7 linked regions of the Danio rerio genome follow. The main gene of each other region encodes a partner of the protein of the gene in region 2 in a complex. Links are inferred from orthologs where the notes say so. Each region holds a gene or a part of one and is shown on either strand. Other genes may lie near its edges. The genes, in order: tmem67, tctn1, cc2d2a, tmem216, ahi1, cep290 and tmem107l.

The links.
Region 1: tctn1 (region 2) and tmem67 share a complex: the UniProt entries of both Homo sapiens proteins name them as parts of the tectonic-like complex. The link is inferred for Danio rerio from reciprocal best matches to the Homo sapiens genes TCTN1 and TMEM67.
Region 3: tctn1 (region 2) and cc2d2a share a complex: the UniProt entries of both Homo sapiens proteins name them as parts of the tectonic-like complex. The link is inferred for Danio rerio from reciprocal best matches to the Homo sapiens genes TCTN1 and CC2D2A.
Region 4: tctn1 (region 2) and tmem216 share a complex: the UniProt entries of both Homo sapiens proteins name them as parts of the tectonic-like complex. The link is inferred for Danio rerio from reciprocal best matches to the Homo sapiens genes TCTN1 and TMEM216.
Region 5: tctn1 (region 2) and ahi1 share a complex: the UniProt entries of both Homo sapiens proteins name them as parts of the tectonic-like complex. The link is inferred for Danio rerio from reciprocal best matches to the Homo sapiens genes TCTN1 and AHI1.
Region 6: tctn1 (region 2) and cep290 share a complex: the UniProt entries of both Homo sapiens proteins name them as parts of the tectonic-like complex. The link is inferred for Danio rerio from reciprocal best matches to the Homo sapiens genes TCTN1 and CEP290.
Region 7: tctn1 (region 2) and tmem107l share a complex: the UniProt entries of both Homo sapiens proteins name them as parts of the tectonic-like complex. The link is inferred for Danio rerio from reciprocal best matches to the Homo sapiens genes TCTN1 and TMEM107.

What each region holds. Positions count from the first base shown.
Region 1 is NC_133191.1:30,685,915-30,690,132, reverse strand, and holds the start of tmem67 (meckelin), read right to left. Parts: upstream 2,801-4,218; 5' UTR 2,794-2,800; coding exon 2,601-2,793; intron 609-2,600; exon of another isoform or gene 353-608; coding exon of another isoform or gene 343-352; exon of another isoform or gene 279-342; intron 46-278; coding exon 1-45. Other genes in the region: rbm12ba (RNA binding motif protein 12Ba), read left to right, coding at 3,305-4,218. UniProt on the Homo sapiens protein: Required for ciliary structure and function. Part of the tectonic-like complex which is required for tissue-specific ciliogenesis and may regulate ciliary membrane composition.
Region 2 is NC_133185.1:8,973,031-8,976,530, forward strand, and holds part of tctn1 (tectonic-1), read right to left. Parts: intron 1,670-3,500; coding exon 1,581-1,669; intron 185-1,580; coding exon 47-184; intron 1-46. UniProt on the Homo sapiens protein: Component of the tectonic-like complex, a complex localized at the transition zone of primary cilia and acting as a barrier that prevents diffusion of transmembrane proteins between the cilia and plasma membranes.
Region 3 is NC_133198.1:2,308,778-2,312,277, reverse strand, and holds part of cc2d2a (coiled-coil and C2 domain-containing protein 2A), read right to left. Parts: intron 3,123-3,500; coding exon 3,030-3,122; intron 1,720-3,029; coding exon 1,489-1,719; intron 1,149-1,488; coding exon 992-1,148; intron 550-991; coding exon 413-549; intron 1-412. UniProt on the Homo sapiens protein: Component of the tectonic-like complex, a complex localized at the transition zone of primary cilia and acting as a barrier that prevents diffusion of transmembrane proteins between the cilia and plasma membranes.
Region 4 is NC_133189.1:29,311,898-29,316,092, forward strand, and holds the start of tmem216 (transmembrane protein 216), read right to left. Parts: upstream 2,801-4,195; 5' UTR 2,790-2,800; coding exon 2,777-2,789; coding exon of another isoform or gene 2,760-2,776; intron 1,131-2,759; coding exon 1,117-1,130; intron 1,028-1,116; coding exon 934-1,027; intron 853-933; coding exon 760-852; intron 1-759. UniProt on the Homo sapiens protein: Part of the tectonic-like complex which is required for tissue-specific ciliogenesis and may regulate ciliary membrane composition.
Region 5 is NC_133192.1:9,408,718-9,412,217, forward strand, and holds part of ahi1 (jouberin), read right to left. Parts: coding exon 3,416-3,500; intron 33-3,415; coding exon 1-32. UniProt on the Homo sapiens protein: Involved in vesicle trafficking and required for ciliogenesis, formation of primary non-motile cilium, and recruitment of RAB8A to the basal body of primary cilium.
Region 6 is NC_133200.1:18,973,537-18,977,572, reverse strand, and holds the start of cep290 (centrosomal protein of 290 kDa), read left to right. Parts: upstream 1-1,236; 5' UTR 1,237-1,287; intron 1,288-1,601; 5' UTR 1,602-1,675; coding exon 1,676-1,768; intron 1,769-3,216; coding exon 3,217-3,294; intron 3,295-3,462; coding exon 3,463-3,532; intron 3,533-4,036. UniProt on the Homo sapiens protein: Involved in early and late steps in cilia formation. Its association with CCP110 is required for inhibition of primary cilia formation by CCP110.
Region 7 is NC_133198.1:31,419,244-31,423,313, reverse strand, and holds the start of tmem107l (transmembrane protein 107 like), read left to right. Parts: upstream 1-1,270; 5' UTR 1,271-1,427; intron 1,428-1,550; 5' UTR 1,551-1,556; coding exon 1,557-1,643; intron 1,644-1,735; coding exon 1,736-1,803; intron 1,804-2,426; coding exon 2,427-2,527; intron 2,528-4,070. UniProt on the Homo sapiens protein: Plays a role in cilia formation and embryonic patterning. Requires for normal Sonic hedgehog (Shh) signaling in the neural tube and acts in combination with GLI2 and GLI3 to pattern ventral and intermediate neuronal cell types.

The sequences.
Region 1 (4,218 bases), on a different chromosome or scaffold from region 2:
TACTGACCAGCACTCTGGAACCAGCCTGACACTCACATGCCAGTCCTATACAGTGAAAATAACACAAAAAAAGTTCACATATGTTACTAAGGACCACAAAACCAGTCATAAGTCTCGATATTTTAACTTGAGATTTTTATATATAATGAGATTTATACATATCATCTTAAGAAAATTATTTGAATATATATTTCACTTTTATTTGTCTATTTCTATGTGTATATACGTAACGGAGGGCAGCTAGTAAGTGCTGTACAGGTAAACCTCATTCCTCTGACCTCTAAAGGTGCTCTAGCGACAGATCCTAGAAGCCATGGTCTTTAATCTCTTTGTTAGAGCAACCGACTCCCATGCGAAAGGTTGCCGGTTTGAGCCCAGCCCAGCTCGGAACGGGTTGGGTGGTGTAGGACCAGGGGGGTTACATACACTGTATTTAAATTACTCCAATACAATTATAGTGAGTTTGCACTACACAGTTTAGCTGCATTTTTTGAATTCTGAGTGGCAGTTGAGAGTTGAGTTACCATGACGACTGCAGCACATCCTTAGACAACAAAGAGGACCGTGATGAAGAAACAACTAACTCGTCTCTCTCACTTATTACTAAGGTTAGTTAAATTAACTAACTGTCATATAAAACTATAATACACATGCTTTAATGTATAAATAACTAATTTTACCTGATTATTTTATTAATAATTTTAAGATGTCTTAATTTTAAGTGTGATTTGATTTGATGTATTCAGGTTTTGGGTATATCACTTACTGTAAATACTTAACTTGTCTTCCTGACACAGTAATTTGAATTCAGTCAGTGACAAAGATTCTAGCATTTCTGTACAAATGGTTAAGGTTTCATGTTGTTATTTTTTTGTTTATTTATTGTGAAGTGAGTTGATTCAAGTAATTATACAGTGCGGACTATTTTATGCAACATGTTTATGAATAATTTTGTGAACCAACGTATCTTACTGACTCTAACATACAAATGTGAATGTGTAATAAGACAACAAAGAGTGAAACAACAACTAACTCTTGTCTCTCTGACTTATTACTAAGACTACTGCTTGCTTACAGTCTTCACAAATCCCAGGGACATGTAACAATCTTACCGAATAATCTTTGATGTGTGATTTTTTTAGGTTAGGACCAAGGTGTATAAATAGCACATATGGAGGGGACATGTCTCCACCAATTATCCAAATCTCCAGAATTATTCAAATTTCCCCAGCAATAATTTAATCAGCTCCAAAATAAAATAAATTTCTCTCTATTATCAAACAACAATCAGAATAAAATGGTTAACGCATCACATGCCTCCTCCTTTTCAGACGTCTGCATTCATTTCTCTGCAAAGTAAAATATTTGCATTTACTTTTTGCAGCATGAGACATGGTTGACTTAAAGTGATTTTTATATTATTAATTTAATTTATTTATGGTTTTAAAATAGTGAAAGAACGCTCAAGGTTCAGTTTTTGTGCTCCGAAGTCCCCACCAATATCAAAAGCAACTCTACGCCCTTGAATAGGTTAGAATTTGGTTGACAAAACTATTTGAAAATCAGCAATCTGATGGTAAAAAAAAAAAAATAATATATATATATATATATATATATATATATATATATATATATATATATATATATATATATAAATAAGTTCATTAGTCTAAATTAAGTTCATAGCAATGCTTATTACTAATCAAACATAGTTTGTATATATTTATAGTAAGACTTTTTTTTATGTTTTTATAGAACGTGATCTTTACTTAATTATCTCATGATTTTAGCACAATAGAAAAAAACAATAATTTGGTTGCAGCCAAATATATACATAGTTTTGTGTCACTTATCAGCAAGAATTTTTTGTTTTTAAAAGATGTCTAAATACAATCGTCTTGGCTAAAACATGGCTACATTTGGGCTGTGAAAATCTATAATAGACGTCTAATAGGCCAAAACTAGACTAGTTATCAAATAAACAGAAATAAATGACGACACAAAGTCTGTTTAATCTGTCTTTTTGATGACTAGTTTAGTTTTGAGCTATTCCTAGATGGATATTAGATTTTCACTGACAGCCCAAGTTTAACGTTAGACTTGTTTTAGCCAAACTGTCTACCTTTAGAAATCTATTAGACGTCTATTAAACACAAAATTGTTTGCTGGGTTCGCTTCACTTTGTGACCAGTGTCACTTATTTTATATATAATATTATATACTTTAATATAATATCTACATGTTAATCATATTGAAGAATAAACCAGAATAAATATCTATTTTACAAGTTGAAAGTTCTTTAAGCATTTCGATTGTTCTGTGCACTAAAACGGTCGTATCTTTCGATAATTCTACCTTCATTCATGAGAGTAATAATCTTTTAAGTGAATCATCTGCACGCATGCTAATGAAAACATTAGCTCGCGCATAGCAGACTAACGTTAGCTCACAAGACGCGTATTCGTGTATATCTAAGTTACATTAGCAACAGATACAGCAATAAATTGACCGTTGCTTGGTGTACAATCAACCATCTGCACGTTAACTTAGGTCGATCAAAACAAACAAACTAATCTGTGCATGCGCTCGTGTAACGTTACCTGATTTGCTGCTGACTTGATTTGACCCGCATTTCACGCAAGACAGGCTCGAAATATCAAAATAGCTGTTAACGCCACAGTCAGAAGGCTGTCGAAATGATATGGAGAACTGCTGGCAGGAGAAAACGCTTATTTTTAACAGAATTATAATGGAGACACTATACAACAAGGCGCTCCGCGTCCCCGTCGCCATGGTGCAGGATCAGATGACGCTTGATGACGTATTCTTCACGTTTACGTGAGAAGGCGTGTCACATGTGCACGCTCTCAAGTCTCTACCAGAGGAAGTTGAGCTTTCCCGCCGGACATATGCGCTCTGCTCTTTGCATGAGCACCTCGTGCTTTCCGCTGACAGAAAAAAAGCAAAGCGTGCGTAGAGAAGCGTTTATATTGAGGTTTTCCTTTTTTTTTTAAGAAAAAAAGAAACAAAACGGTAAGTACGCGCGAGCCCATAGACAATGACCGTTTGGAAGAAGGAGGAGAAAACTATTTTACTTTAGTCAAGCAACAATAGTATGATTGTTTGGTGGTGGAAGTCCTTTCTTTGCTTTTTTATAACCAAGAGGAGTTTGCTTGTAGTTTGTACAGTGAGTGTTTTTGTTTTGTGTGTGTGTGTGTTAAAATAGAAAACTTTGGTCATGAAACTCTTTTTTTCTTTCTTTTTTTTTTTACAGATTCAACTGGTTTGTAAGAAGACCCTCACCATGACCGTAGTGGTTCTGCGTTTACAAGGGTTAAACACAGAGGCAGGATCTGAAGATATCCGCAGATTTTTCCATGGCTTGCACATACCCGAGGGCGGTGTTCATATTATCGGAGGCGAGATGGGTGAAGCATTCATTATTTTCAAAACAGAGAGAGAAGGTCAATTAGCCATGCGCTACTCTGGGAAAACACTCAAGGGCTCCTCTGTTTCATTGCATATCAGTAGTGTGGCTGAGCTGAAGAGAAAAATGGAGTCAAGATTAAAAAAGCCAAAGCCCACAGAATTGGAGACTAACGTGGTGCCATCATCTCCCACTGACACCAATGCTGCTCTTTTGCTTAGTTTAATGGGTGCCATTTATGGACTGCATTCAAACAACAAAGATAATCAGCAAGGTCAAACTCAGCAAACACCTGGAAATGTCAACCAGAATTCTCCAGAAATGCAAACATGGCCGTTAACTGGAAAACAAATGAATACAGATGCACAGCACAGTCTCAATCATGAATTGGCATCTACGGAGCAGCAGACAGGCAGAGGAGAGAATCTCAATTTAAGTAAGCCAGGCTACCTCCGGCTTTATGGCTTTCCCGACTGTGTAGCCAAACAAGAGATTTTTCAGTTCTTACGGGGACTCCCAGTGTTGGAGGTCATTACAAAAGTTAGACTGCAACTGGGCTGGTGCTGTCTTGTGAAGCTGGCCAGTTTTTCAGATGCAGAAGAAGGGCTAAAATACAGTCACAGAAAATTCAAAGAATTCAACGTTGAAGTCAGACTTGCCCATGAAAAAATGTGGACTGATGCTGTGGAGGAGTCTAAAAATTGCACACAAAACCTTAAACCACACTCCTCCTCGGAGCAAAATGAGGCCAACAACAATCGAAATGCAGTGAGAGCGTTCACTAATAAAAG
Region 2 (3,500 bases):
TGTCTACTTTACAAAAACATTAAATATTATTACAGTTGCTTCTTACTTTAAGGTGCAACCTGATATTGTGTTAATCCCAAATAGGACAGGCGAGCGACGAGAAGAGCCACGCAAGCAATCCTGATCCACAGATGTTTGGATGGTAGTGAGAGATCCTTTTGGGTCTGCAAACTGAACTATCCCAGTAAAACAAGAGTCAAGGAATGTGCCCCAAAGCTGGATTGGCAGGCATGACAGTATTCATTAATTTATTTTCTTGTCAGCTTAGTCCCTTTATTAATCCAGGGTCGCCACAGCGGAATGAACCGCCAACTTATCCAGCAAGTTTTTACGCAGCGGATGCCCTTCCAGCCACAACCCATCTCTGGGAAACATCCACACACACAAACTCATACACTACGGACAATTAAGTCTACCCAATTCACCTGTACCGCATGTGCATGTCTTTAGACTGTGGGGGAAACCAGAGCACCTGGAGATATCCCACGCGAATGCAGTGAGAACATGCAAACTCCACACAGAAACGCCAACCGAGCAGAGGCTCGAACCAGCGAGCCAACAACCTCCTTGCTGTGAGGCGACAGCACTACCTACTGCGCCACTGCTTCGCCCCCTGCATGACAGCATTTGCATGGATTTGTTAAACACTGTTACGATGATGAAAACATTAGCACACCTTTCTTAATATTAATATTGTGCAGGCCCCTAGCCAGCCTGGTGAAAAGAATGGTTCTTTATTCTCAAAAAGTGGACCTTTTTGCAGTTATTCGCCTCATTTTTTATTTAATTATGAGGTTTAAACACTGCATTTTAGGGACATTTCAAGCATTTTTTTTTTTGGCTGGATAAACCTGTCAGATGGTCATTACAACCACACTTTTTAATGTACCAAAATATTTCCAGATTTAGAATAAAGAAATATAAAAACAATAGCTTACTTATTTTATAAATACAAATGTATCACTTTATAAATCATTCGAAAAAAATAGGTAGTTTTAAATGTGTTTTAAATCAAAAACTGCAGCCTACTGTTATGTATTAGGCAAACAACAAACTGGTCAGGACATTCAACTGTCATTTGGGATGCTGAATTTGGGAAGTCAAACCGAAGCAACAGCTAAAACAGAATTCCACTTGGTATTAAAGCCTTATTTAATAGGTTATTTTCATAGGTTTTTTTTTTTTTTTTAATTTATTATACCACAGTAGTCAAAATAGGACAAATGAGCTCATGTATGGGACAAATTCTGGACCTTTGTCAGTGAGGGGTGGGTCTTTCAAACCATTTGAATCACCCCTGGCTATGGGCCTGCTGTGTCCTGATTTCTTTCATAGATCAATCAAAGGGAATGATTTTTTTTTATCCGTAACACTGCATCTAATAAAGTATAAGAAGGACATCATTTTTTAATATTGTGAATTACTGACATTAACTATTAACATGTTGCCATATACTCAACATATGGGGTATTTTCCAAACTTGGAAATAAATTACTTATATTCTGTGCTGATGACAAATGGCTGGCATAATCGTTTCGTTACAAAAGAGACATCTGTCCACAGTTTCTAATAAAGGATATTTTGCCGTTCTTGTTCCGGCCACTAGAGGACGCCCCAATACATAGCCAGGATTGCCACTGTATTTCAACCCTGTTGTCTGAGAGTTCTCCTGTCAAAGCATGGACATACAATTATTACTTTGTTTTTATAAGGCTACATTAAAATAAAAATCTAAACAAAACAAGAAAACAACAACAACAAAAATTTGTAAAACACATTCTGGATAAATATTTCAAGAAAATCAGAAGGCACCACAAAACTATAAAAATAACAAATATTTGGAACAAATCTAAAAGAAAAGAACAATACACAATTAAAATAAAGCAAAGGAAAATACTTAGACAAGTACAATTAAAGGATAGACAAAAAACTATTAATATTATTTCATGCAAATACACTGTAAAAAGCGATTAGTTACTTTAAAGAGTGATTAATTACGCTGCCTTAAAAACAACAACCTGATTTTAGATAAGTCAGTAAACTCATTGACCTAACTAAACATTTTTAATTATGCACATAGTTGGTTTACTTAATAATTGTAAGGCAACAGGTTTATTTGTTTTTTTTTAAGTCAACTAATCTCTTTTAACAGTGTATATGGGGACATCAGAGAATGTACACAAAACTATTCATCTTAAAGAGCCCCTATTATGCATTATAAAAGGTCATATTTTGGTTTTGGAGGGTCTTTAACAACAGGCTGATAGGTCAAAAACACCTTAATTGTCTTATAATATGCATTTATTTTTACCTAATTATCCCAACGACTTACATATGATTTGTTCAGTGATTTATTTGTCCCAAACCCCAGCATATTAGTCTACTCCTAACCCTAACCTTAAGTAATAACAGCGACACACATTCAGTACATTCAGTATCCAAACAGTGGCAAAAGTTTAACTATTTTTAAAGAATTGACCACTCCACACGTGTGAGGAACAGCTGGTGGTGACCATGGCCACAAACAGCAGGAGATTGCGAGCAAAAAATGCATTTAAAGTATGAAAAAAAGAAGCATGAGTTGCGTTTACAACGTGGTTTTGGGCGCGATATGTGAATAACCCCATACAGATTTAACCTGAGAGATACAGTACCAGAACTGATCTATGACAGTACGTGATTACCAGCTGTGCAGAGCGATTACAAGTTACAACACACAATTAAAGACATATTTTGCAAACTACAGAAAATGAGGCAACAATTTTAATCACAATTCATGTTATGTAGGAAGAAGGAACTGGTCCATATAAACTATGTAACAGTTACTAACAAAATCCCATACATTAGTAGTCTTTGCTGATCCTTGCTTTAATAACAAATGCCAGCAAACCCCACACTGCAGTGTAGATTATTGTATCAATCAGAAAATGACAGGAACAAACACAGCACTAGGTTGACTATACTGTGGTGGTGTGGTGGTTTCCTAGAGCTGCATGTCTAGGCATTTCTAAGTGATAGTAATCTTCCCGTCACGATAAATCCCATGATCCCTCAAACTCTGCTAAGGTCTAAAGGGAAAGGCGCGTTCACATTTACCGGATCCGGTAGTTCATATTTGGTATAAACATCGATATAAACAAAAGATCCCGACGAACAACGAATCATTTAAAAAACTCTGAGTCGAATCTTTTATTAAAAAAAACTATTTTTAAACCAAGTGCATTTTCAGATTTAACCCTCAGCTGGATGTTTTCATTCACTTAGTGCTGTGTTACACACTGCATGGAAGGTCATTTTTAAGAACCCATAATAGGGGCTGTTTAACTTTTCAATAACTCATAACTCATATATATACATACGTATATACATTATATATATATTTCACAGTATGTCTGATAATATTTTTTCTTTTAGAGAAAGTCTTATTTGTTTGATTTCAGCTAGAATAAAAGCAGTTTCTAATTTTTTTAAAAAAACATTTTAAGGTCAAAATTATTAGC
Region 3 (3,500 bases), on a different chromosome or scaffold from region 2:
CTGTAGTTGCTTAATTAGGCCTACTGCACTACTGTATTTCAATACTGGTCATACTGTGGTACTTGGGGGGACAATTTTTTCTGAGGTGGTATTTGATGAAAAAAGTTTGGGAACCACTGTATTAGCAGATCACTCGTATGTCAGCTCATAGACAGACCAGCTGATCAACATGACTTTGAGACGATGCAGTGTCAGTGATTTGGTGTGAAGGAGAAAACATTATGAGGTAAAAACTCTAGTTGTAGCATCCACATGACCACCCTCTACCCAGAGTTTCAGGAAATCTACACCCTGGCTGGAGTTTTCAGAATGTTTCAGGTTCAGTCACCTGACACTGTGTTTTCGAGTGAACAAAACCGCGTCGAATAAAAGTGTGATTTGAGAATACCAGTGTGGACAGGGCCTAAATTACCTCGGCCTGCTTCAGTATTCGATTCTCTAATATGTTGAGATTGGTCAGGCAGACGTGCGGCCTCTCCCCCACATACAGACCCTCCTCCTCCAGGAAACGTGGACGTGTGTTCTCCGCCAGCTTACTGGAGGCTGGCACTGGGTGACACATTAAACACAGATTACAGATGTAACTGTATGAAAATATATATCATCACAATTACAACGAGCAAATTTATCACCATTATTAAAGGTGCAAGTTCGACACCCAGTGGTTTAACTAAGTATTACACTCCTGGATTAAAACAAACCCAAGTGGAGGGGGCGTGGTTAAGCATGCTAGCCACACCCCCAATATATCAGACATGAATAATCTGGGAATTTAACTGAAAACACACAGGAAGTGCATTTACAGACTAATTAAAGATCAATTAAATATTACAAGGGCAAACCATTTTTTTCTTAATGACCAACACAGATGATTTGTTCACCACAAAACTAGCAATATTAGCTAACAACATTAATATGGTTAGATTTGATTTCATGTACTTTCGTGACTAATACAGATGATGTGAGCAGCTTTTAGTGATGGTTTCTGTACCTGGCCTCATGCTGGGAACAAACAGCGTGTCTCGCTCCCTCTGCAGTCGCCTGCTGTAGTCAACATACTCCGCTCGCCTCACTTCCAGGAAGTCCTGTGCTGATTGGTCAATGATGAACAAATCCTCCTCGTCTCCGACTAATGGGTCGTCTTCATCCTAGACAGGGATTGAATCAGATTAAAATGAGTGGATATCAATTTTCAAGCAAAACAATTTGCCAATGGGGTGAGCAAAATAATCGTGTTTTTCGTGATTTGTGATAAGATTTTTTTGCTCACCCTATTGGCAGATTATTTAGCTTGATTTAAGGAAAAACTCACTTCATTTTGGCGTATTATTTCTTAAAACAAGACAATATGTTTTGCTTGTGTAGAAAATGCTTCTTGATTTAAGAACTTTTAGATATTTGGACTAGAAACAAGACAAAAAAATCTAAGTAAGAAAAGCAGTTTTTTGCAGTGTGGGGCTTAAAAACACGATAAGCACGATAAGTCACCCTGGCTTCAGACTCTTCCTCTCCTTCATTCTGTCTCTCCAGCTCTCCTACTTCCTCTCCTTCTTCATCCTCCCCTTCTACTTCTCCTTCTGAGTCTCCCTCTTCTTCCTCCTCTGCCTCTCTTCTCCTGGAGCGTCTTTTCTTCTTCTGGCGCTGCTGTTCAGGCTCCGGGTCAAAGTTGAAGGTGAAGAAGTTGTAGGCCTCTTCGGCGGTCGGCAAACCAGCCTCAGCCTGATCAGCAGACAGACACACTTCAGTGTCAGGATCTCAGGATGGGGTCACACAAACAATGAAAATCACCACATTATTTCCTCCCCTGGATGAATATGATTTTCTTCTGTCAGATGAACACAGTCAGAGTAGTTTTACCATTTATTCTGGATCTTCATGCTGTGTAATAGTGTTTGGTTGTGGCACTTTTTTTTTAAGCTTTCAAAAGTTCAGCAATCTGGGAGCAAACTATATGCCACCAAGTGTTTAACACACATATTATAAACGTGGATTTGTGTTTTTGTAACAGGAATATTTCAAATATTTTTTTAATTATACATTTAAATCACTGTCTTCCAGAAGCTGCTGAATGCCGAACCTCTATCTGACGCAGAAGAGAAACGACGTAATCTCGCTAGCACATTTCAGCGAGCGTTTTCAGCTCATTCATATAGAATCCCAGTGCATATTGGGATTTAAAGTGGCACGGAGAAAGTGTTCAGAGCAGCCGAGAGCATCAGAAATGTTGTCCATTTCATAACTTTATTTCATTTTCATTTTTGGGTGAACTACTCACACTATGCCATCCGTACCGTGCCCAGGCCCGTTTCCCGAATCGTTTGAGAAGTGTGAGTGGGCTGAATCGGGCTCAAGCACGGTTCACTTGGCCGGCCCTGACCCGGTTGGAAGCGGTGGGCCTGAGCGTGGTTCGCTTGGACTTTGGCACGGTACGCTTGTGTGTGAGTGCAAAACGCACCAAAGCCCGAAATTGAAAGTGAGACGTGACTTTTAAGGGGCTGTTTTTATATGGATTTATTATTAATTCTTACTGTTCAGTGAACGCAAACTGCCGTAGCTTATTAAATACACAAACCCCTCACTGCACGACAGCTGCACCTTCAGCAAACCTCCATTTTCGTGCAGCACGAGGGCTTTATGATTGTTTATGAGTGCCAAAAGTGGCGGATCTGTTCGGCGAAATATCTGACTGCGTGTCACCGCATCCCTAAGGACTGTTTGGCGAAATATTTGACTGCATGTCACTGCATATCAAACCGACTGAAACGATATAACCAGAGAAATCTCCACTGTGCTGCTGAGTGAGTGAGAGAGCGCTTCTCACTGAACAGCGCAGCAGCGATGACGTAAGCGTGCCGAGGCCCGATTGTGGTGTGAGTGCGGGCCGTCGAAAGAGACGGGAGGGGGGACAAGCGTGCTTTGGCCTGGTTCGAGGCAAATGTACCTAGTGTGAGTACGGCCTTAAAGGCAATCATGAACATGGAGCATTTATACCTCTTCATATATAACAAGACCTTTAGGGAGCTTCTCACCTGCTTGTCTTTGACCGCACGTCTGGCCGCATCACGAAACTTCAGCCTGGCAGCAAAAGAGGAGTCCTCATCAGCCCGCAGATCTGGATCCATCTAGAGGAGGTGAGCAGATCAGACCTCGTTTTAAACACTGAAACTTGACTTCACATTCATTAGAAGAAATGTATACAGTTGAATTCAGAATTATTCGCCCCTTCAAATTTCTTTCTTCTTTTTTGAATATTTTTCAAATGATGTTTAACAGAGCAGGAAATTTTCACAGTATGTCAGATAATATTTTTTCTTCTGGAGAAAGTCTTATTTGTTTTATTTTGGCTAGAATAAAAGCAGTTTTTAATTTTTTAAACACAATTTTTCCTTGATGATCTACAGAACAAACCATCAATATACAATGATTTCCCTAATTCCCCTAACCTGCCTAGTTAACCTAATTAACTTAGTTAAGCTTTTAAATGACACTTTAAGCTGTAT
Region 4 (4,195 bases), on a different chromosome or scaffold from region 2:
TTCTTGATTCACAGTGCATTGATTTATTCTACTATCCCTAAAACTAAGCTGCGGTAGGCATCTCATATAATGCATCCACTAAAAGATGTTGAAAATTATTACCAGTATTACTTTCAGAGGTGGGTAGAGTATACAAAATTTATACTCAAGTAAAAGTAACAATCTTAAAAGTTACCCAAGCTGCAGCAAGAAAACATCTGCATATATGATTTTCTTCATTACCTGTAGTACAAACACTTCCTGTTTATTGCCGATGAGTGTATATATATGATACAAAAAATCAGTAGAGATCAATGGGAATCAGGCTTTCTTGTGCTAAACACCCAGAATGCATTACACAGTTACGTCAAATTCCTGTTCTCTATAGACAAGTTATTGTGTTTATAGTTTTATATAGTATCTCAAATCGTCTAGACATTTACATATTATTCAATAATCCCAAAGAAGATAACATAAAAACTGTAACAAAACACGTTTGAGTAAGTTAATTAATTGACGGAATGATCAGCTCAAAAATCTGTAGCACTTTTCAAAAAACATTTTTATAAAGTCCTATGGGGAAGAAAAAAACACTTCTAGAACTAGCACTGCTGAAGAAGCAGGCCCGACTAATGCACACTTTATTTATTGCTAAATTTTGAGCATCGTCAAACACTGCTTCACAAGGTCTTCTGAAGTTCTGACTGAGCATAATTTCAGTGCACTAACTGAACGATTCTACAAACTAAAGCAGATTAAACAACTTTATAAGGCACTGACCATAGAAAAGTCTGAGTGTTTCAAGGCCAGAGAAGAGGAGCAGCAGGACAACATCCAATATCAGATTATCTTGTGGGTAAGGGAGTATCACTCCTACAAATGTCAGAGCAAACAGTGATTACTTGACAAATAAAATCACAAATTTTCAGAATATTTCAAGAGGCCATACATCACCTTTGTAAATGAACATAAGAATCTCAGCAACGAAAAATGCAGCAAAATACCAGCCGTTCAAATGAAACAGGATCTGCAGTGGTGTGGACGACAACTGAGGTACTTTGTTAAGAAGCAATATCAACAGAATAAACAAAGACAAACGAGTAAATAATAAGAAAAAAAAACAGCTTGAAAAGATACAACAGGTTGTCTTCCTGCAAAAGTGAAAATAAATACTGAATTAGTGAAAATAACATAGGTCTAAAAGTAAAAGTCCTTTAGTCTCATTTATGCATCTGCCATCTTGGAATGGGTAATGCAGTTTTTCAAGATGCCACAATATTGTGCAGTCTCTACTTGTAGAAGAAAAGGGGGGCACTGCCACTGACATTTTTATAACCAAAGATAGTGTAAATATAGATAGCATAAATCTTTCACAGGTGAGAATGTGCTGGTTTGTGAATTTGTATGCATTCATTCAATATTACAGTCAGTTTGCCTATCAGAGTTCACAAACCAGCTTCCTATATTGCACATGGCATGCATATACAATGCTGTTTTGGGTCAGTGGCTCATTTTCTTCCTCAAAAGTCTTTGTTAAAATGTTTCAAGCCATAATCCAGGCCAACTTGTTAAAAGTTTTCTTACATTACAAACTCTAGTATAAAATAAAGATGAGTCTGAAAATGAAATAAACGTACAAAGTTACAGGACAGTGTACTTTTAAAGGCATAGTTCATCCCCCCCAAAAAAATGTAATCACTATTTACTTACTCTTAAGTGGTTCAAAACTTTTACAAGATTTTATTTTTCTTCTGTTAAACATAAAAATATGAAAAGACCTGAAAACCTGTAACCACTGACTTCCATCGGGGAAAAAAAAAACTACAGAAATCAATGGTTACAGGTTTCGACCTTTCTTTAACTGATCTACTTTTCTGTTTAACAGGAAAAAAAACTCATATAGATTTGAAACCAGGACAACTCACGACAGAACTTTGATTTTTGGGTGAACTATCCCTTTAAAATGACATGAAGCATTTGTGAACAACATTAATGACTAAAGAACAAAGGAAAGATTTAAATTTCATTAAAATGTGTTGGTTGTATCTACAGAGAATACCTGAGCAGCATCGTTGGTAGTGTTAATAAGACAGTAATGTCAGGTGCTTTTTTTAAAGTATATTACAAAATTAAATGGATAGAGTTTTATATTATTAGATTTTTTGCAAAGTAAACACATCCTACCACTATAACTAACAGCCTTTTTAAGATTTTCATACAGCTCATTTTAAGACACAGTGTTGAAATTAATCGGGTATTCTGCCCCAATTAACTAGTAATAGTGGTTATCAATATTTTTAGCAAAGTAATATGGTTATCTATAAAAATTCTCATTAGACCTATGTTTTTTCAAAAACACGACTTTTTAAAGATGAAAATAAATAGGTTGCATTTAAAGTGTTGAAGACAATAGCTGCCCCACAAGCACAATTTGTACAAAACAATACTGACAAGTGCGAGAACACATTTAGTGAACACGCGGTTAAGTAACACACACAGATTAAGCATTGAAGTAAGATCAACAGGCAGTTAATCATTATGCAAGAATATAATAAAAAAAATAACATCTATTTGTTGGAAAAAAGACAGGCGTGCTTTAAATGGCTAAAATCGGCTACGTGATGCCTACTTTCCACCCTAAACAAAAGTGCACATTCTGCTCTATTAGTCCGCTTGTTTCTTCAAAAACGTCTGGGTCTGGTTTATTAAAGTCGCCCACTTATTTAAGTTAAATATGCGCAACTAAGGTGAACCAATAAACTTACTATCAAAACCAAAACATTTCCGTTTTGCTTACCGTGGGCAGCCATGTTAGATTGCCATGGACACGCATACTGTAGGCGGAGACAAACATCGGCCATCCAATCAAATCAAGCAAACGGGTCAGTGATCAAAAACATACAAGTGCGAGAAATGAACACATTCTGTAGTAAGCACACACATTTTCCACCTATAGTCCACAAGGTCAAAACAAAATGGTAACGGTCACAGCTTACGGTTCATATAAATATAATAATCTGTATATTCATATGCACACTAAGCAGCAAAACAGTCACTGCCACTGAAATAAATAACCTTTTATACGTTCCTTTTAGCCAATAGTATACGCAATGTTGTATTAGTGTTATTCATAGTTATGATTATTATACATAGCACACTACTATTTCATATTCGCTATTATTAATTCCTCTATTCAGATATAATGTATTTTTTATTCTACATTATTGTATAGAATTTGTACTATAATAATAAGGTGTGATTCTTTACTTTTTATAAACTGTTTTTGTTAACTGTTATAAAACTGTAAAAAAAGAGAGTATTTTGATAAAGGTATACATTTACATATCTTTTTATAACATAAAATACACATTACACGTTTGAGCTTTCTTCTAGGTAACTGGAGGTTTTTTTTCACACCATACAATTATAATCAGTTATTAAATATAAGCGTTATTGTATTTTCTATCCGATAAAATAGCAGCTCCTCCGTTCACGGACCGAAGCTACAGTGCTCTCTGGTGGCTTAAACTGAACTATATTTTATTTTTAGACATACAGGTTAGATACAGATAAATTTACTATATGCCTGAAAAATAAGACTTATATGCATGCAAAATAGAATATGAACATACGAAATTTAGTCAAACAGAGAATCACAGTTGCTATTATTTAAATACTCATAAGATGGCGGTGCGGTGGCGTTGCTGTGGTTACCATAGTCAGTGGCGTTCTAAAAAAGAATGTGTTCGAAAAATGACGTTGAGAAACTAGTGTGACCTTCATTAAGTGTCTGGCCATCGCTGACATTAGCGGTATGTAAAGATCTCTCTTAAAGTATAATTTTAGGTTATATTTTGTTGTTTCGACGAGATTTTGGTTGAATACACTAAATATTTTAGTATTTCTTTCTGTCATATCGTTTCAGAGTAGTATATTAGTTTTTCCACGTCTTTCTTCGGTTAGACTGTTGATTGTACTGAATGTTGGATGGAAATGGAGATTTCTGTATAGACGACTTGTTAACTTTAGCATTTTGAATCCATATTTTTCTAGTTTGTGTATTCTGTTATCTTCTTTAGTAGCCTGTTTATAATGAATGCCATTTGTTATGTTGTCAGTTAGGTAGACCGATAGATACGATATTTTTGTTTGTGTGCTTCATTTGTATATTACTGTCTAACTTTTGCAGGTTGTTATTTGTTATATCGTCTGGTAA
Region 5 (3,500 bases), on a different chromosome or scaffold from region 2:
CTCAAATCTAGGTTCTTCTTTAAGGTCTGAAGCTGAAAGAAAACGCGATTAAGTTAATATTTACAGTGATTATTTTTCAATGAGCAACATTTTTCTGGTTCAAATAAAGATTACATGAGCAATTCCAGCATTGTGGATGTGATATTTGCATGAAAAACTTGAAACTAAATTTGCTGAGGATGTATATGTTTACATTCTGAAACATAAAAAATAAAAAAATGAGTATATTATAAAACTGAGATGTCTGTAAAAAAAATCTGTTAATGTTATATATTTTATATTTATAGCCGGCAGTTAGCTCTCTGCAACTCCCACATGGTCGCCCACTGAAGCTAAGCAGGGCTGCGCCTGGTCAGTACTTGGATGGGAGACTACATGGTAAAGCTAGGTTGCTGCTGGAAGTAGTGTTAATGAAGCCAGCAGGGGGCGCTCAACCTGCGGTCTGTGTGGGTCCAAACGCCCCAGTATAGTGAAGGGGACTCTACACTGCTCAGTGAGCAGATGAGATGTTAAACCGAGGTCCTGACTCTCTGTAGTTAAAAATCCTAGGATGTTCATCGAAAAAAAGAGTAACCCCGACATCCTGGCCAAATTTGGCCACTGGCCTCTGTCCATCACGGCCTCCTAACCATAACCATAATTGGCTTCATCACTCTGTCTCCTCTCCATCAATCAGCTGGTGTGTGGTGCGCAATATGGCTGCCGTTGCGTCATTTAGGTGGACGCTGCCAACTAGTGGTGGATGAGGAGATTCCCCCCATTATGTAAAGCGCTTTAAGTGCCTAGAAAAGCGCTATATATGTGTAAAGAATTATTATTTTTATTAAGTGGTAAAAAAAATATTGATTATGGATGTGAATCAAAAAGTATGCGAGTTTACAGTTTACAAAATAATCTGTAGAAATTCTGTAAATTAAACTGCACAACCAAAAATAAATAATACTTATTAAAGAGATAAGAGTCGCCTCTTTGTGGAACAAAAAATATAGATGTACATTTAATTCACAGAATTTCTACATATTATTATAACTACAAACTTGTGTACTTTTTGATTCACATTCATAATGAATGTTTATTTACCTCAATTAAAATATAAAACATTTACAGATTATTTTGACATATAATATCCTCAGTTTATATTCATATATATATATATATATATATATATATATATATATATATATATATATATATATATATATATATATATATACAACAGTTCTGTCTGGTTCTCAGATCTGATTGGCTGATAGCCGTGCGATATTCTGCAATATCAGAACTCCTTCAGCCTCTTTACCCTTTGTGTATTACTCCGCCCACATACAGCCAGCAAAAAGCAGACACTACAGATCTAAAGTTTAAAAGATGCACACTCAACTGTTTAACTGTCAGCTTATGATTTGAATCCGGAAGAAAGTAGTTCCTCATATAAAAGGGTTTTTAAGACTCTCCATGTTTGATTTTGTTTTTATATACACAATTATATCGTAAAACTGTTGTATAAACGCAATATCACACTCTTAGCAGTGCGATATGGCTGTATATCGGCACGCCTCCCACCAGTGCCGATATACAGCCATATCGCACTGCAACTCGTGCGATATTGCTCATATATATATATATATATATATATATATATATATATATATATATATATATATATATATATATATATATATATATATATATACACACACACACACACACACACACACACACACACACATATATGTGTGTGTGTGTGTGTGTGTGTGTGTGTAATAAGAATGTTTTTTTTTTTTTTTGCATTTATGTAGAATAAGTTTAGGTCTAACAACTTTATTAATCCCACCAGGGGCAATTAAATTAGGGCAGTAGCATCATGATATAACAAACACATAAAGAGACAAATCACTTACAAACAACATTAAAAAACACAATACAGCATAATTTCATAAATGGTACTAAAAAAAACAGGAAGGACTCGTACATTAAATTTAACACTTGCTAAAATGTAAGGTTAATAAGCCTTATTGCCTCAGGAACAAAGGTGAATTTCTATCTGTTAGAAGAGCATTAATGCTTCTAAACCTTCATCCAAGGGGCAACAGTACAAAAAAAGGCTTCAGAGGATGGGAATTATCTCCTATCACACTTTGAATTTTCCTTAACGAATATGCTTCATTACGGATGTGACATCTGTGAAGCTGGCACTTGTGTGAATTTGGTCAATGAAATAAAATGCAAGTCAACACATACAACTTATAAAAGGGTTTTGCTAATTTGGTGCTTGTTTGATGGCAAGGTTGACATTTGCAAATATTATTACACTGAGGTAAATTTGGCTTTATATTCGAACATTTGTTTACTTAGTGACAACTTGTAACATGGTCTCTATATTGTTTACCATGTTACTTTGAACATTCGCTCTGAAAGTGAATCAAGTATGACTTCATCTGAATCAAATATGGCTTCAAAACTAAATTTCTGAGGTAAAGTTTATTTTATATTTGCACATTTGTTCAGTGACAACTTGTGGCATGCTCCCTTTATTGTTTACCATGGTACGTTGAATATTGAGTCTGAGATCTCATGCAAGTATGTAAGACTTAAAAACAACATTAGCACTATTTAATTGACAGTAAACACTTGTACTTTGCTAGTCATTGGCTGCTAATATGATTTCACTATGTAAAAAGCAAAAAAAAAAAAAACTTTTCTGAAATTATATTATTAAGGAGAAAGTCAATATGTGCAAACATAAAACCAGCTTTACCTTCCTCAATACTAAACGGGCAGCACGGTGGAGCAGAGGGTAGCACAATCACCTCACAGCAAGAAGTTGGCATTTCTGTGTGGAGTTTGTATGCTCTCCCCGTGTTTGCATGTGCTACAGGTGAATTGGGTAAGCCAGTGGTTCTCAAACTGTGGTACGTGTACCACTAGTGGTACGCAGGCTTCCTTCTAGTGGTACGCGGAGGAATTAAATATGTCATGTACATGCTACACACATTTCAAAATTTATCAAAAATTATGTATATAATATGCCAATATGACAAATAGCCTAGATTTCTGAGGTAATCTGCCACGTTTTTTTTTTGTTTACTTTGCAGAGTTGTAGCGGCTTTACTGGGCCTACTACGCTACTGTATTTCAATACTGCTCATTTTGGTGGTACTTGGAGAGACAATTTTTTTTCCTGAGGTGGTACTTGATGAAAAAAGTTTGAGAACCACTGGGGTAAGCTAAATTGTCCGAAGTGTATGTGTGTAAATCAGCTTGTATGGATGTTTCCCAGTGATGGGACGGGCGTCCACTGCGTAAAACATCTGCTGGATAAAATGGTGGTTCATTCCGCTGTGGCGACCCCAGATTAAAAAAGGGACTAAGCCAAAAATAAATAAATAAATACATGAATGAATGAATTATTACTAACCACGATAATTTCCTGAGACTGGTCAGAGATCTGTTTGGCTTTCTTTTTCTCAGATGGAGGGTTTGTGTATCTCTTCAAAACCTCG
Region 6 (4,036 bases), on a different chromosome or scaffold from region 2:
AGCTGGGACTCGAACCAGCGACCTTCTTGCTGTGAAGCAACAGTGTTCAATTATATTATTTATGTTTAATACATTTTCACTATTTAAGGTTCCTGTAATTTTGATGTGGTTTTATCATTGTGATTGGTTTTGTTTATTTTACATAAAGCTGAAAGAAAATGTTAGAACCTCTAAATGAAAACTAGAATTGATACAGGTAAATGTATTTTTTGTTAAATTATCAAAATGACTACAATTTACTTGAAGCATACTAATGAAGTAACTAATTGAAACATAAAGAAATACTATAACAGTGTTTAGATAATACTAAAACAATAATGAGAAGTAAATGTACTTTGTGAATGTTTTAGACCAGATCGGACATATAAATAAATAAACATACATACAAATACATAATCGTCAATCTTTCAATATTTCATTCATTTCGATGACCTTTTCCATCCCTGGAAAACCTTTTAAAAGCCTCAGAAATTGTATATAACCTTTCTAAAACAAGTTTATATTAGAATACTGCATTACGTCCTTAAGCAGCTACGAAATGCAGCAATAAAAGAGCAGATTAATCGCAGTAATAATGGGATAATCTGTGTGGACTGAGCGGAGCAGAGAGGGCGCAGCCTCACAGATCATATGCTATCAGTTAGCATTTGTTTTACATTCAGATCAATCGATTAATTAACACATTACAGTCAGAAAATAAAACATCGACACAACAACCAAGCGTAAAAAATAAGCTACATTTTAGTGAAAATAAAAAGACAACTGGACACATAAAAGACTGCTGGGTTTAAAGAACAAACATAACTTCAGCTGTGCTTTTAGCATTCACTGGTTTCAGTCATTTCACAATATCTTCTCTGTCAGCAGTCATCGCTAGGATGTAATTAAAGCAACTCACCTTGTCATGTCTGGGGAAAAGCTAAATGAAAAGAGAATATGTTTGTTTATGTTGACTAAAGCAGCAAGTTCGATCCACGGCATTGAATTAACAGAGTCCAACAACTGCTTCCGGGTCAAAATGCCTGGCACAACAAAAGTAGGGAATTACAGAGTAGCCGTTCGCGGATTTTGTGTTTCTGTAATGCCATTTCAAATAACGTATAGACACAGATAGATATATGGTTTTAGTTGTGATTCCCTTATAATGAATGGACCGCGTATAAAGGAAATATTTTTTTTAAAAAGAATCCAAACAGAGACAATTTTACGACGTTACGTTTTACGACTGTTTTCCTTGTTGCCTAGCAGCAGCGGGAGCGCAAGAGGAACCCAAGATGGCTTAATAAGGTCTGAAAACGTTATTTTCAGTGTCTTTAGTTTCACAAATATGTGTAAAAGTTGACATTAAGACGTGTTCAAATTTAGGTTTATGCTAACGAACAAAACCAACCCAAATACGAGCAATTGCATGCATTTCTAATTATCGACATTGTGAGAACTAACTAACGTTATATGTCTGGCTAATATATTTAGCATGGCGTTTTGTCGTGTATTTATTATTCTGCTATGACTCTTTTGTGCTGTGACGGTATATGGTGTTGTTTTCAATGAGAAGTCCGTGTGAAGAAATAAACTACATTCGTTTTGCATGTTGTCTGTAGGTAGAAAAAGACTGGCAATCTCAGCATCAGTTGTTCAGTTCAGCTCTGGGGGACATTTGCAGCTGACCTGAAGAATGCCTGCGGCCGCAGACTGGCGGCTCCTCATGGGAATGGATCCAGAGGATCTGGGGGATGAGGATGAGAAGATCTGTGATTTGATTTTAATGGTAATCTGACACGTTTGAGGCACACTAATTGTGAGGAGTGTAGCTAGATGTTACAACAATCTGCAACTACAATACAACAATCTGGAGTTGCAATTATTAAAGAAACACTTATATATATATATATATATATATATATATATATATATATATATATATATATATATATATATATATATTTTTTTTTTTTTTTTTTTTTTTTTTTATATTTTTTTTTTAATGATCACACACACAATATGTGATCATTAAAAAATGTATTTTAGACTCAACATTCTTGAATAGAATTATGGTTGTGTAAATTAGTGTTTCTGAAACACATTCCTGTGGGACCACCATCATTGCATGTTTTGGGTGTCACACTCATAACAGATAGAGGTAAAGTTGGTTTTATATTTGGATATTGAGACATTCTCATTAGTAATATAATTTAGATAACTTCTTTGCAAATTTTTAATAGAGAAATCTTATTAGCAGCAAATAACTATCAAAGTACAGCATTGTTCACAGTGAATTAGATAGTGTTAATGTTGATTAGGAGTCATACGAATATTCAAAGTAACATGGTAAACAATTTAGGGACTTCTAAATGAACGAATGTGCGAAAAGAAAACCAACTTTACCTCTATCCATTACAGGCCTTTCAGTCTACTAATGAGCTAATGATTTGAATTTGGTGTGTTTGGTTAAGAAAACATGGAAAATGTGCAAGGCTGGTGGTCCTCTTGGAACGTGGTTGAGAAACACTGGTGTATATAACTCATTCTGATATCACCCAATATGTTTTTAGTACAGTGGAGGGTAAGATAAACATAATTAGTAAGGACAAATTACATATTTTTTCTATTTTGTTAAACCGTTGTTTACTGAATAAATTGCATCTGTTAATCAGTTATAACTGCAATTTATTTTTCACAAAATATAAATATGTTGTAAACTATACTGGGAGCTTTATTACTTACACATTTCTATCATTTTAAACGCTACAATTAACAACAGGACTCAGACTGTGCAAAATAAATTAAATTATATGCAATAGTTAAAATGGCACTTTAGACAGTTTTTTCATTTATACATATTTATTTACACATACTATATATATTGGATATATACTTGATCAAAAGAGATTTGGTGTATGTTTTTATATTTATATATTTGTTTGTGTTTTCTGGTTTTATTTTTTTAGTAAATAAATGATAAAATTATATTTAACTACTAGTAATACAAACTATTTAGTGTGAATATGTGAAGTTACAAACTTAATGCTCAGTTATTGTGTGTGTTTGTGGTTGCATGTTCAAAAAAATATTTATTGTTTATTCTTTCAAGCCAAACCACAGAGCATCTCCAGCCTCAGGTCTTGCTTTCAGGCTAACATCCGCTTATCGGAATGTTTAAGGAAGAAAACATTCTTCTTGCAAATTTGTCTGATAATAAATTTCTTTTGCATACAGGTCAAACCACGGGACCTAAAAGCAGATGATTCTGAGAAAATGATTCAACTCTTTAGGATCTCACAAACCCTTCTGAGGGTAGGGCTGATTCATCATTTACGCAATGTTTGCAGCACTGCGTACAGTAGTTATGTAGTAGTTAACATTTACCAGATTTCTTTTAATTATGTTGTATGGTCATTGAATTATCATGAGCATTTGTTGTTATGAATCAGTTAATGTTATTATTTATGTTTGGGTTTTTAGATGAAACTGGATGAAATTAAATGTGCCTATGAGGTTGTAGACAGCGCAGGGGCAGAACAAGCAAGAATTGGTATGTATAATCATTGCTAGGTTTTAAGCATCTCCAGAACAAATCACAGCATGTGAAAACGCAGCATGGAAAACGCAAAAAAAAAAAGAAAGTAGTGATTTCCAAATTTGCTTTGACTTGTATTTCATTGCAGACAATATAAACACAAAATATTTCATGTTTTGTCAGGTCAATTTCAATTTCATTTAAATATGCATCCCTTCCTGTCATTCATACCTGCAACACATTCCAAAAAAGTTGTGACAGGAGCAGTTTAGGGATGATAATCTGGTAAATTGGTTAAATATTGATGTGATTTGAAACAGGTAGTGTCAACAGGTGATTGTAATTATGATCTGGTACAAAAACAGCATCCAAGAAAGGTCTAGTCCTTTAGGAGCAAAGATGGGCGGGGGATCGCCACTTTGAAACAAACACATAAGAAAATTATTAAAATGTTTAAAAACAAGGTCCTCAAAGAAAGATAGGAAGACATTTGAAAATTTCACCTTCAGTGCAAAACAT
Region 7 (4,070 bases), on a different chromosome or scaffold from region 2:
TATCACACCCTGCAAATAAAATGGCAAATGTTGTCACCACAATGTAAAAAAAAAAGTCTTCCTAAAACTGTCTATTCTCAATTTCTTAACTCTAAGGTTAATATTTTACTGCCTTCCAGAACAGCAAATGCCCTTGATAGCAAACCACTGAGTTAGTATTTATTTATTATTTACTAGACCAACGACGTCTGGCTGTAGGCTACAGTAAAAACTAATGATTCATTTATTTGTTGATTTGTGAATGCTGAAAACCTGCAACCATTGACATCCATATAGGAAAAACAAATGCTATGGAAGTTACAGGTTTCCAACTTTCTTTAAAGTATTGCCTTTATCGCTTAACAGAAGAAAGAAACTCACAAAGATTTACAACCACTTGAATAAACAGCAAACACGTTTTTATATTTGGGTGAGCTATCCTTTTAACTTATAGGGCTCTTATTACACACGTTTTATGCACTTACTATAATACCAATAAATTATGCATAATCACATGCAAAAACCCATAACCATAGTAAGTACTCCATATCGTTAATTAATGCCACTCAGTACTTTATGCTATAGATACACTGTAAAAATGAGACCGTAAAACAAAAAACAACTTAGTTTGTTTAAATGCATTTCATTTCGAGATTAGCACTGTCGCTTCACAGCAAGAAGGTTGCTGGTTCGAGTCCCGGCTGACATTTCTGCAGATGCTTTTTTCCCTGTGTTTGCTTGGGTTTCCTCCGGGTACTCCGGTTTCCCCCACAGTCCAAGGACATGTGCTATAGGTGAATTGAATAAACTAAATTGGCCATAGTATATGAGTTTGAATGAGTGTGTATGGATTTTCCCAGTGCTGGGTTGCAGCTGGAAGGGCATCCGCTGTGTAAAACATATGCTGGATAAGTTGGCAGTTCATTCCGCTGTGTCGACCACTGATAAATAAAGAGACTAAGCTGAAGGAAAATGAATGACTGAATAAAAGGCTTGTTTAAGACACCTCGAACACCTTGATAGTGCTCCCTATTGACCACAATAATGAAGTCTTTGAAATAAATTTTTTCCAATTGTCTTACTACTTGTCTGCGCTGCCATGTTCCAGTTCACCATTTTCAAGTTATTTCACCTTTAGTACCTGCTCTCAGCCGAAGGAAAATGAATGAATGAACATTTTGAGACATTGTAAAACCAAGTTGAGGACCAGTCAGAAAGCGACTCCTTCCAGCAGGTGACAGCATTGAGCTACTTGTTGGTCTGTTTTGACCATAACCCATTCGCCAAATAGAAGAAGAGTGTTGTCGTAGCAACCCGAAGCTTATATCGAGCGATAACTGTCCTCAAGCTTGATAAACTTATACGCATAGTAGCCTTATATACAGTGCTATATCTACTTTACTGCTCACCATTTGAAAAATCAGGTTTTAACAACTAACGCAAAGCTGGTACGTATACCATTTTGATATACAACCTCACGTTTTGTGAAGATGAACACGTTAAACCTTTAACTGTTAGTCATCCACTTGCACAGTTCAATCTAAGTTATTATGTCTTTCTTCTCTGTCTAGTGTTCAATGTCGGTGGTCAGCAGTCTGGTGCCTGCCCGTTTCCTCACTCTCATCGCGCACCTTGTAATAGTGATAATCATTTTCTGGTCTCGGGTAAGAAGTGTTCTTGTGTGTGTAATTGTTATTTTTATATCACACAACATCACTGCAGCCAGCTGTGTGTTTAAATGTGGAATGACCTACAGGAGTACAGTGTCCGAGCCTGTCTACCACTCGACTACACTAATGAAGAGTACACAGCAGAGGACACACGGTTGGGAAACACACTTTCTCTGTTCTGTATTGCTTCACAGTGGCTAAATGATAATATAATTATTTCGGTCATGTAGTGAGACTGAATAGTATTTTTTGATTCAACTTTATTGTCATTATACATGTACAAGGCAACAAAATGCAGTTGGGGTATACCTAGGAATGCGATAGCATCAAGTGCATGATATATGCACAGTGCTCAGCAAATGAGTACACCCCTTTGAAACAAAACAGATTTATTAAACAGATATATTTATTCAAATAATATTTTAGTCATCAAACATATTTAGAAATTGAAAGATATTACAATTACATTCAAGCAAAATAATCCAAAAAAGAAAAGAAATTACAACCTGCAAGATTTCAACTAAAATAGTCTTTTTTTTTTTCATTCCGCAATACAGAATGTATTTTAATTGTTAATTAAATGTACCTTTTAATTTATGAAACAAAATACTTTAAAATCTTTTGATGGCTTTTCTTGTTTGACCCATTTACAGCATATTATTGTTTGACTGATAGTAAATTGTACATTATTTATATGTAGATGTGAATAATGTTATGGAGTCAGATATAGTAAGTCCTGTTCATGACGCTGTCCTAACCATTGTTTTTGGAATACAGGCTTGTGGTGGCATTATCCGTGACTCTTGGCCTGTTAGCCATCGAGTTGGTTGGGTTTCTCTGTGGAATCTCTATGTTCAACAACAACCAAGCTCTTCTGTGTATCCTTACCAGTAGCACATCACCACTATAGGTTATATATATACTGTAGGTGTTGATGCATATAAATTGTGTATTATTTTCTTATATTTTCATGGATCGGAGTCAAATCTTCAACTTATGATTAACGCAAACAGCTCCCATATGTGTGTCTAGTACTAGTTTCTTACACATCTCATCCAAAGTCTTCTGTTTTGTTCAGATTTTTGACAGTAAATTACCTGAAGTCATGGGTCGTAAAAAATTATATGGAGCTGTAATGTGGTCAAGACCTACCTGGTATATAAAGTCAATCTAGGGCCATATATACAGTTGAAGTCAGAATTATTAGCCCTTTTGAATTATTACCCCCCTGTTTATTTTTTCCCCAATTTCTTTTAACGGAAAGTAGATTTTTTTCAACACATTTCTGAACATAATAGTTTTAATAACTTATTTCTAATAACTGATTTATTTTAGCTTTGCCATAATGACAGTAAATAATATTTGACTAGATATTTTTTAAGACACTTCTATACAGCTTAAAGTGACATTTAAAGGCTTAACTAGGTTAACTGGTTTAACTAGGCAGGATAGGGTAATTAGGCAAGTTATTGTATAACCATGGTTTGTTCTGTAGACTATCGAAACAATATATAGCTTAAAGAGCAATAATTTTGACCTTAAAATGGTGTTTAAAAAAAAAAATGCTTTTATCCTAACCGAAATAAAACAAATAAGACTTTCTCCAGAAGAAAAAACCCTTTTGGAAAAATAATAATTCAAAGGGGGGCTAATAATTCGGACTTCAACTGTACGTGCAAAATAAAATAAAACTTTGCAAACAACAAATAAAGTATTGAGCAAAAAATAAATAAATGTAAATGAAAAAAATAAAAAATACATTTTGCTAACAAAAATAAAGAACTGCAAAGGGGAAAATTGAGAAATAAAAATGAAATTTAAACAAAAAAGGAACTGCAAATAAACATCAAGCAGTAAAAAAACAAAACAAAAAGATTTGCAATAATCAAAAAAAAACTATATATATTTGCAAAACATTTTTATAGCATTGCTTTTACAAAACCTGCCCGGTCAGTTGCAATTGTCATTTTAATTAGATTTTAGTCAACTGTGAGTTTGTGATGCTGTTTTCACTTTGTACTTCACGTTTCTGCGCCTTTCACTTTGTGGCCCTGATTTGACAAGGGGACTGAGTCAAGGGAACTTAGAGGTTTACCTAAGGCCTGCCGTAAACGCCCAAGTTCCCTTGACTCCACCCCTTTGTCAAATCAAAATGAGCATTGCAGTTGACTGGATGGGTTAGGTCAAGGCTAAAAATGTTTTGCAAATATTTATATATTTTTTTTTTCAGTTCTTTTTTTGTTTGCAAATGTAATTTTTATTTTTCAAAAATAAATTTTCCTTTGAATTTTTAAATTTTTGTTAGCAAAAACTATTTTTATTTCTGAAAAACAAGTTTTTGCTTGGGCGAGGCAGTGGCGCAGTAGGTAGTGCTGTCGCCTCACAGCAAGAAGGTCGCTGGGTCGCTGGTTCGAACCTCGG